2 linked regions of the Drosophila melanogaster genome follow. The protein of the gene in region 1 interacts with the protein of each later gene in a pairwise test. Each region holds a gene or a part of one and is shown on either strand. Other genes may lie near its edges.

Evidence for each region.
Region 2: the proteins of CG14424 (region 1) and CG15459 interact in a two-hybrid assay, tested with the Drosophila melanogaster proteins (one large-scale study listed by BioGRID).

The regions. Positions count from the first base shown.
Region 1 is NC_004354.4:2,925,334-2,929,170, reverse strand, and holds CG14424 (uncharacterized protein), read left to right. Parts: upstream 1-1,912; 5' UTR 1,913-2,001; coding exon 2,002-2,062; intron 2,063-2,391; coding exon 2,392-3,122; 3' UTR 3,123-3,287; downstream 3,288-3,837.
Region 2 is NC_004354.4:20,411,760-20,415,760, reverse strand, and holds CG15459 (uncharacterized protein), read left to right. Parts: upstream 1-2,179; 5' UTR 2,180-2,263; coding exon 2,264-2,320; intron 2,321-2,489; coding exon 2,490-3,341; 3' UTR 3,342-3,420; downstream 3,421-4,001. Other genes in the region: CG15458 (uncharacterized protein), read left to right, coding at 1,674-1,736, 1,799-1,927.

The sequences.
Region 1 (3,837 bases):
ATTAGTAATGAATATCAAAGAGATATAGATTGATTGCAAGTCAAGTGAATTCCCCGAATTCACTAGTAATTTCCGCTCTGCGATTTCTTTTCATCGAATGTGGATCAGTGTGCTAATTTTTGGGAATATTTCTTAGACGCGCTCCAAAAATAGAACTTTCCCTACAACAGTAACTTTCCAAAATATGTTGACCCCGCAAATGATTGGGTGAGATGTGCTGACCCCGCCATGGGGGCAACTTTCTTTGCCATATACATAGCTAGAAACCACACACTTTGCTAATGAGTATTTACGATCTTTTTATGCATTTCCATTAGCATCAAATAACTTGGCTGGGATCTCTTTTGCTCGCCCAGCTCTTCGAGCTTATGAATACATTGCGTTCTTTTTCGCATAATTTGGTTATTAAAACATTTGTTTATGTCGCCCATAATGGGCGGCAAATATGTTTTCCTTTTTTTTTCCCCCAGTCCGCCCTTGTCATTAGAAAGAACTGCCAACGGTAGCTGTGGAAAATTTAAATAATTGCCGCGGCAATAACATAAATTAGATAAACCATCGGAGAGGCTGGCAAAAAAAACATGGAGTTCGAAAAAAATACAGCACATAAATTAATCATACCACCCGTGGTCAGTGGCCCAAATTCGGAATTGAGTAGGGCTGAGGAAATCGATTGGTCTCCAATTTCAGCCACTATTGAAGGCATTCAATTAACATTTAATATCGGGAATAGCTCGATGTACCCGCTCTGTGAAAATTATTGTTCTTTACAATTGTTTTGCAAGCCGAAAATAATGGTAATATTTGAAGGAAAATGCAAAAGCAATTGCAATTTATTTTAATTCAGATAGTTGTTTCTTACGATCTTGCATTATTTTGCAGGCGGACTGTGATTTAAATTTAAAGTTCTCTATAGCAAAACTCTTTTGGCCAATACATTTACACTTTTACAGCCAATTTTTAGGCGCATTTTAAATGCTATTTTCAAAATAGCTTTAATTTTGCATAGGTCCTAAACAAAAGGAAGATTATTGATTTAAATTAGCCAACAATAGAAGAACACAAAAAAGAGAGCAGACACTCATAAATTCCATAAAACCATAATCCGTCATGCCATTATTTCGCGCAGCTTATCACTAATAGTTCGATAGATTAGCCACTTAATCTCTGGCACTAAGTTGAGCCTGCTTTCAATGCAGAGAATGGCGGAGAAAAGAATAAATTTCGCACTATGGACTCGATCCACTTGATTGATTTAAATGCTCGTTCCTCGATCCGAATGGGGAACACATGCTGGCTGGCCAAAGAATATCTTTGTATATGGCTATATGGCAGACAGGCAGGCAAATGAATGTGGCCCAAATAAGCCTCGAACTCTGACATCTGCGGGGAAGAACAGTGAGACCTCGCCCACTTCGGACATTGACAAATGGAAACGGTTTGACTTATTGAAAATCTCACTTTTGACCTCAAAATTGGCTCAAGAATTCGCCAGACGGTTTTTGTATTTTTCCGTATTTCTCCAGGCGACCCAAAATGCAAATTTCTCGATTTTGGTAAAGAGTCAAATGCAACTGGAAATGGAAATGTAGCCACCAGAAGTCAACGTTCTGCGATCTCTGGGATGTTAGGAGTTTTTGGGTTCTCTGCTTTTTGGGTTTTCTATTACTGGTTTTTGTGCATAAATCAGTCGACGGACATTTGCATAGTTTAATAATTTGCCAATCGTCCAAGTCCCCACCAATTTCGCTACATTTTACTTTGTTCTGCTGCCTGGCCACCTAATTTCTTTTGTTTTTCGTGTGATTTTTATGTGTCTACGCTGTTTTGCCTGCTTTTCGCCGGCCAGGTGAATGTTCCTTCCCTGTATAAAATGTCTTTGCCGGGCACTTGATGGACCATTTAATAGAGGCCCTCGTCCAGCGACAGACCCAAGCCCAAGTCCAAGTCCAAGTCCACATCAAATCCAAGTTCACAAGAAGATCCCATATATACATCATTATGGCAATTAAGTTGGTAGCCCTTTTGACCATCGGACTGGCAATCTTTGCCGCGTGCGAAGGTGAGTTGGTTGGTGATTTAGGAGACGAAAAATAATCTTTGATGAATTATGTTCGCTTTTCCAATATCCATCAGTATCATACATTCTCTTCGAAATCATAATTAAGTGACGGTTATTAATTAATAAATTGCTTTCATAGTTTTTGAGAAACAAGCAATTTTCATAGTTCTTTGTTAATAATGACAGACTTTTGTTGAAGTGCATTGACTTTTTTTTAATATGTGTTCCTAATATACGATGATATTAAAAGCTAAACTAGTTCGTCAGGGCGAATTTAAACCATTTCTGCCAACCCTATTTCCTAACCCCATGTCTTTGTATCCCATTAGCCCGCCATGTGAGCGGACACCATCGCAGGCAGCATTTTGAGCAGCGTGCCCTCATAGCGAAGCCCCACAGTGGTCCCCAGGGACGAGTCTTCCCCGGTGCCGTGGCCATTAAGAAGCTGGTTCTGCTTAAGTTCAAGAAGATCGTGCCCATCTCTCTGATCCTGCTGAAGTCAAGCAACGAGAACGAGGCCGAGCTGGTGCCCGTCTATCCCACCGATCAGATTCCCGAGAACGTTCAGTTCATCCCGACACCCAATGGAATTTCCGGTCACAAGGATGTCCAGGCCATCGCCATTCCTGCCGAGCTGCACGACCAGCTGCAGATCAACGGTCTGTCCAACCTGGAGAACATCGAGGCTCTGCTGCAGAGCAGCTCGATCTCGGCTGCCGACAATGAAGGCGAGGCCCCCGTGGGCAACAGCATTGCCGTAGCCCAGCCCGAGGATGTGGTACTGGAGCAGCCAGAGAACGATGAGGATCAGCTGTTAGACGGAGCCGCTCCAGTCGCCGCTCCTGTAGCCGTCGCTCCCGCCGCCCTGCGCCGCCTATCCGCCGACGAGCTGCTCCGCTCCGGCGTGCGCAACTCTGCCCAGCAGCAGCAGACCAGCGTGGAGGAGATACCCCTGCTTCTGTACTCCGCCAACGAGGGCTCCTCCTCCGCCGGAAACTCGGGACGTCGCTTTGTGGCCGCCGCTCCGGCACAGCGCCGTCGCCAGCAGTTCTACAACTAGGATCCTTTAATTTAAACAAGCAACCTATCCAAACTTCCACATTCCTTCTCTCGATGGCTGTCACACGGGCTTCACTGTACTAGGTGTACTTACACTACCACTGGCTATTCTACATTTTTTTTTTAGACTGAACTGAATATAAATTAACGTTATGAGCGAAATGACAAAAGAAGGGACTTGTGCTTCCGGGTGGCGAAGGGTCTTCAGTGGGCCCTGGGGTAAAAAGGCCACACTTGGATAAATTGGGGGTCAAAGAAGAACCTTTAAAAAGAAAAAAGTTGTCTCAATGGTAAACCAACCAATTTATTACAACAAAAAGCACTGGTTTTAAAAGGTTCAATTAATCTAAGTTTTATGTTTATAAACATTTAAATATCCACCCCTTTTTCGAGTGTCGCCAAGTAGATGGGCAGATCCTTGTTTGGGGCGCTGCTTATCAGGCGACTGCAGTTATCAGGCCTTTGTGCTCGGGCTTTGTGCCGCTGACGTGACAAGTCCTGTCTGTGTCTCGTTTCGTACTCGGCCTCGTCCTCGACTTTATCCTCATCCCCATCCTCAGTTTCAGTCTCAGTCTCAGTTTCGGTTTCGGTGTCCCGATCCCAGTCCAAATCGCAGTCCCAAAGAGTCCTCGTGTGGCAGCCTGCCAGCAATTTTGAGCCAACAAACAAAGCGGCCACAAAACACATGGCACAAATTTTGCTTAGGCGCAAAAGTC
Region 2 (4,001 bases), about 17 Mb from region 1:
CGATTTGGCGGATTCCAGACTCCAGACCCATCGGCGACTCCTTTTATACACGGCCCCCGACATGCAAATGACTTCATATTGGTTCGATCGAACCGCTAAGTGGGTGTGGGAATTATGGGTTAGCGCCAATCGCCGCCCCCACTGCCCATTTCCATATCCAAATGGGCGGGCGGTGGGTGGTGTTCCTGGGGCGGATTACTTTCTGGCCGGGCTATAATCTTGCCACGTTAATTGACAGTGTACACAGGTATGTGGTCACCGTGCGAGGTGGCATGCGAGGCGCGATTCTGGCCGAGATGCGTTGACAATCCCATTGCTGGGCCGCATTTCCCCAGTGTTCATCAGCGATCATGCGAATGCAAATAAGGTTTCAATCTGAGATCTAACGGGGCGGTTCCAAAATCGGTTCCAGAGTTAGGGTCGCATGGATACCGCGCATCCAGTTTTCCGTTTTGAGGTCAAACAATGTAAAGATAATCACAATCGGTAATAATGTTTGGTATATATCTTAAAAAATTATAAAATAAAATCTATTTTTACAAATAGTTTGCTATTTACATATACTCCTTCAAGATGCTGATTTTAAGATATACTATCTGGAAAAAAAAGTTTTTATATTTTGATAGTCCACCAGATACCACCAGATATTTTGCTACCACCAGATATTTTGCATACCAGATGGTTGCTGTTTTTTTGTTTTTTTTCTGGAGACTCACATAACAAGTGGCCATTTTTTTCCAATATATTTAAAAATTTAATTACAAGGCAGGCATTTTAAATATAAGCCTTGTAACCCCTTAAGTAAGTCCATTACACTCACTTTAACCACCTATTACCTTGTATGCAAATGAGTAGTTCGGTTTGATTAGCATTCAAATTAGTTGCAAGTTGGCATTTATTTGGCGAAATGTATTTCATTTGTGCATTTAGTACAACTGATGACGTTGAAATAAGTAGTATTGCGTGTGGCATGAGCCCAAATCGCTGATAAAGCTAACTGCAATAAATAATAAATGTAAATTATAATATCACAAAAGGCTTATGTTTGCATTAGCATAACTGAAGCGTACAGCTAAATAGGCCAGAATGTTTACATGCTAGCTAGGTGATAAAATACATTTGTAGAGGATATATTAGATATATAATGGTCGATCGATATGCGATGTTAATATCAGATTCCAAGACTTTCATACGGACAGACATAGCCATATCGGCTTGGCTAGTGATCCTAATTCCGACCAGGATGGCAAGAAGTTCTGTGTGACATACAATTTTCAACGAATCTAGTAACTGGTTTAAAAATAGTTATAGCTGTAACATGCTTAAAAATTTCATAAAATTGTAAATGGTATTTAGCTCAATGAATTCTGAAGTTGGTTAAAGGTACAATATGAAAATGTCCAAAACTTTCGATTTGCCTCTTGCATATCTCAATTTTCATCACAGTATTTAAGCAGTAATTAATGGGTATCCCATTAGTCGGTACTAGACTTCAGCATTCTCTCTAGTTGGGAAACCCGAGTCGGCTTTGACGACTGTCAGTAACATTCCTTTCATTTCGAACGTTTAAAAGTCACAATCCGAATCCCGGTCTAAAATACAGGTCGAATATCGAATCCAAATTTTAATCTTTTGTTAAAAGCCACGCCAATCCGGTCAACAACGATCCAAAGATGTCCGATCATTTCAACTTCAACGAAGCCTTCAACAGCCAGACCATGCGTGGTCGCGCCAATGTAAGTGATTCAGTACACGGCAGTACACAAGATGCGCCCAAATACGCCACCGAAACCCACAGGTAGCCAAGGCCACCTGGGCCTCGTTGGGACTCGTCTACGTCCTGGTCAAGATGCACCGCCGCAACACGAAGCGGCGCGAGACCAAGCTCTACTGCAAGGGCTGCCAGCAGGCCATGCTCCATGGCTAGGGCGCCGATGCTGCCAAATCATTGAAGTCATGGCTCCCCACCGCTCCGACCCATTCGACCCGTCAGCAATCCATAACTATTTATAATCAGCACCCCCTTTCCGGTCCTCGATGCCACAGTTAAAGGCTTGGGGACCAAACTCATGTACCACCTCGTTGAGTCAATAAAAATCGAATCCTGCCAATGAATCGACTTTGTAATCTAGTTGGCCGAGCTTTGCACTTCGCTGCTTGTCATTAGGTTCTCGCTCGGAGCTATAGGCAGAACACACTCAGCTCTCACCCGGACCCGACCCCAAATCCAGATCTCCAGATCTCCAGATCCAGTCCAGTAGCAATGGCCGACGGCTTTAAGAAGTACTTCAATGGGACAACCATCAATGGACGCGCTAACGTAAGAGTGATTCTATTGAACGCACACAAGATAAAATGAACCATCGCTTTGGAGCTGTTGATGGACACAAAATATTATTTTCAGCTCCAAATTGAAATTCAAAATTATTAATTTAACATTTTTTTACATACATTTTTTACAAATACATATACTATGACCCATTTCGCAGGTGGCAAAGGCCACATACGCCACGTTGGCCCTGTTGTTCATCGTGTACAAGCTGCGCCGCGGATCCGGCAAGACCGGCGAGTTGGCCAGCGGCAAGTGCAGCTGCGAATCGGACCACGAGTCGTCCCTCAATGGCGACATTGGCGTCTACGGCGCGGATCCCGACTGCTCCGTTTGCCGGGAGCGATCGGAGCGGGCCATGACCGAGTTCGATCGCGAGCAGCAGCGCCGGGCGGCGGGCGAGGATGACAATGGTTGTCGCGACGATCCGCCGCCGCCACCACCTCCGCCCACATCGGGAGGATCAGGCTCTGCTCCGCGGCGCAAGTGTCCCTGCGAGGAGCCGCAGCGTCGGGCGGAGGGAGCCGTGAAGCATAGCAGCCACAGCAGCTGGGCGCGAGGCCAGCAGATTCAGCCGCCAAACCAGTACCAACAGTATAAACAGCCCGAGGCGGAGCAAGTGCGTCCGGCTAGCCAAGTGATGGGTCAGGTGCACGACGCCTTCTACAGGGTGCTGCGAGGAGTCGTGGGAGCCGTTTTGGGCAATGCGGCGGTCAACACCAGCGGCACCGCTTCCGATTCCCCAGCTCAGGCAGCCGCAGTGGAAGTCTCGCGGGATGAGCTGGACGAGGATGAACGTGACGACGGCCAGGACGATGAGACGCCGTTAAAGCGCCGCACGGCACCGCGCTCTTGCGTGCCCACAGGCAGCCAAGAGAACGCCTCGGGACAGCCGGAGGAACTGGGCCGGGAACAGGCCGACGACCAGCCGCAGGCGGAGGAGCAGGCGGAGTACAGCGCGTTCAGCGATGGCTTCACTTCCGGCCTGTCCTTTACCAGCGATGAAAAGTAGTTGGCTAGGTCTGGGCGTAGGCTTCAAGAGATCTGCTAAATTTTTAGTCTAAAATAAATACGAAGAACTTCTTTATCTCAGCATTATGCTTTAACAATCCATTACTTGGCGCCCCCGGGTGGATCCATTTCTTTCAGTCGTTGCAAGATACTAAATTAAACGGGGGGCAATTGCTTTATAAAGTATTTTATTTAGCTTCCGTTTAGTTCAGATAGAGTTTTCTTTGCGGCATCTAACTTTTAAATAGATCATCATTATAAACGTTTTTAGCCCCTTTGTGTTCTCGGGGTTATCAATATCAATTACGTAGCTTATTAACTGTTTTGGGCGGGGTTCGGACTCGAGATGGATGGGAATGGATTGGATTGGATTCAATTGGGTTGCGTCTAACGTTTAAGCCTTGTGTTTAATTATGAGTGGACTTCAACTAACATTTATATTTAAATTTATATGTATATATAATATAATATGGAAATAACTTTAACGTTTTGCTTTTTGGTTTCATTATGCGATCGACCGATTCTTTCGCTCTCTCGCCGTCTCTCTCTCTCTCTCGCTCTCTCATTCTCTCTCTCCTCATTCTCCCTCGCTTGCCGTCTCTCTCTCTCTCTCGCTCGATTCGTCGTCTTGCTCCGATTCAAGTGCTAATTTAAAATATAT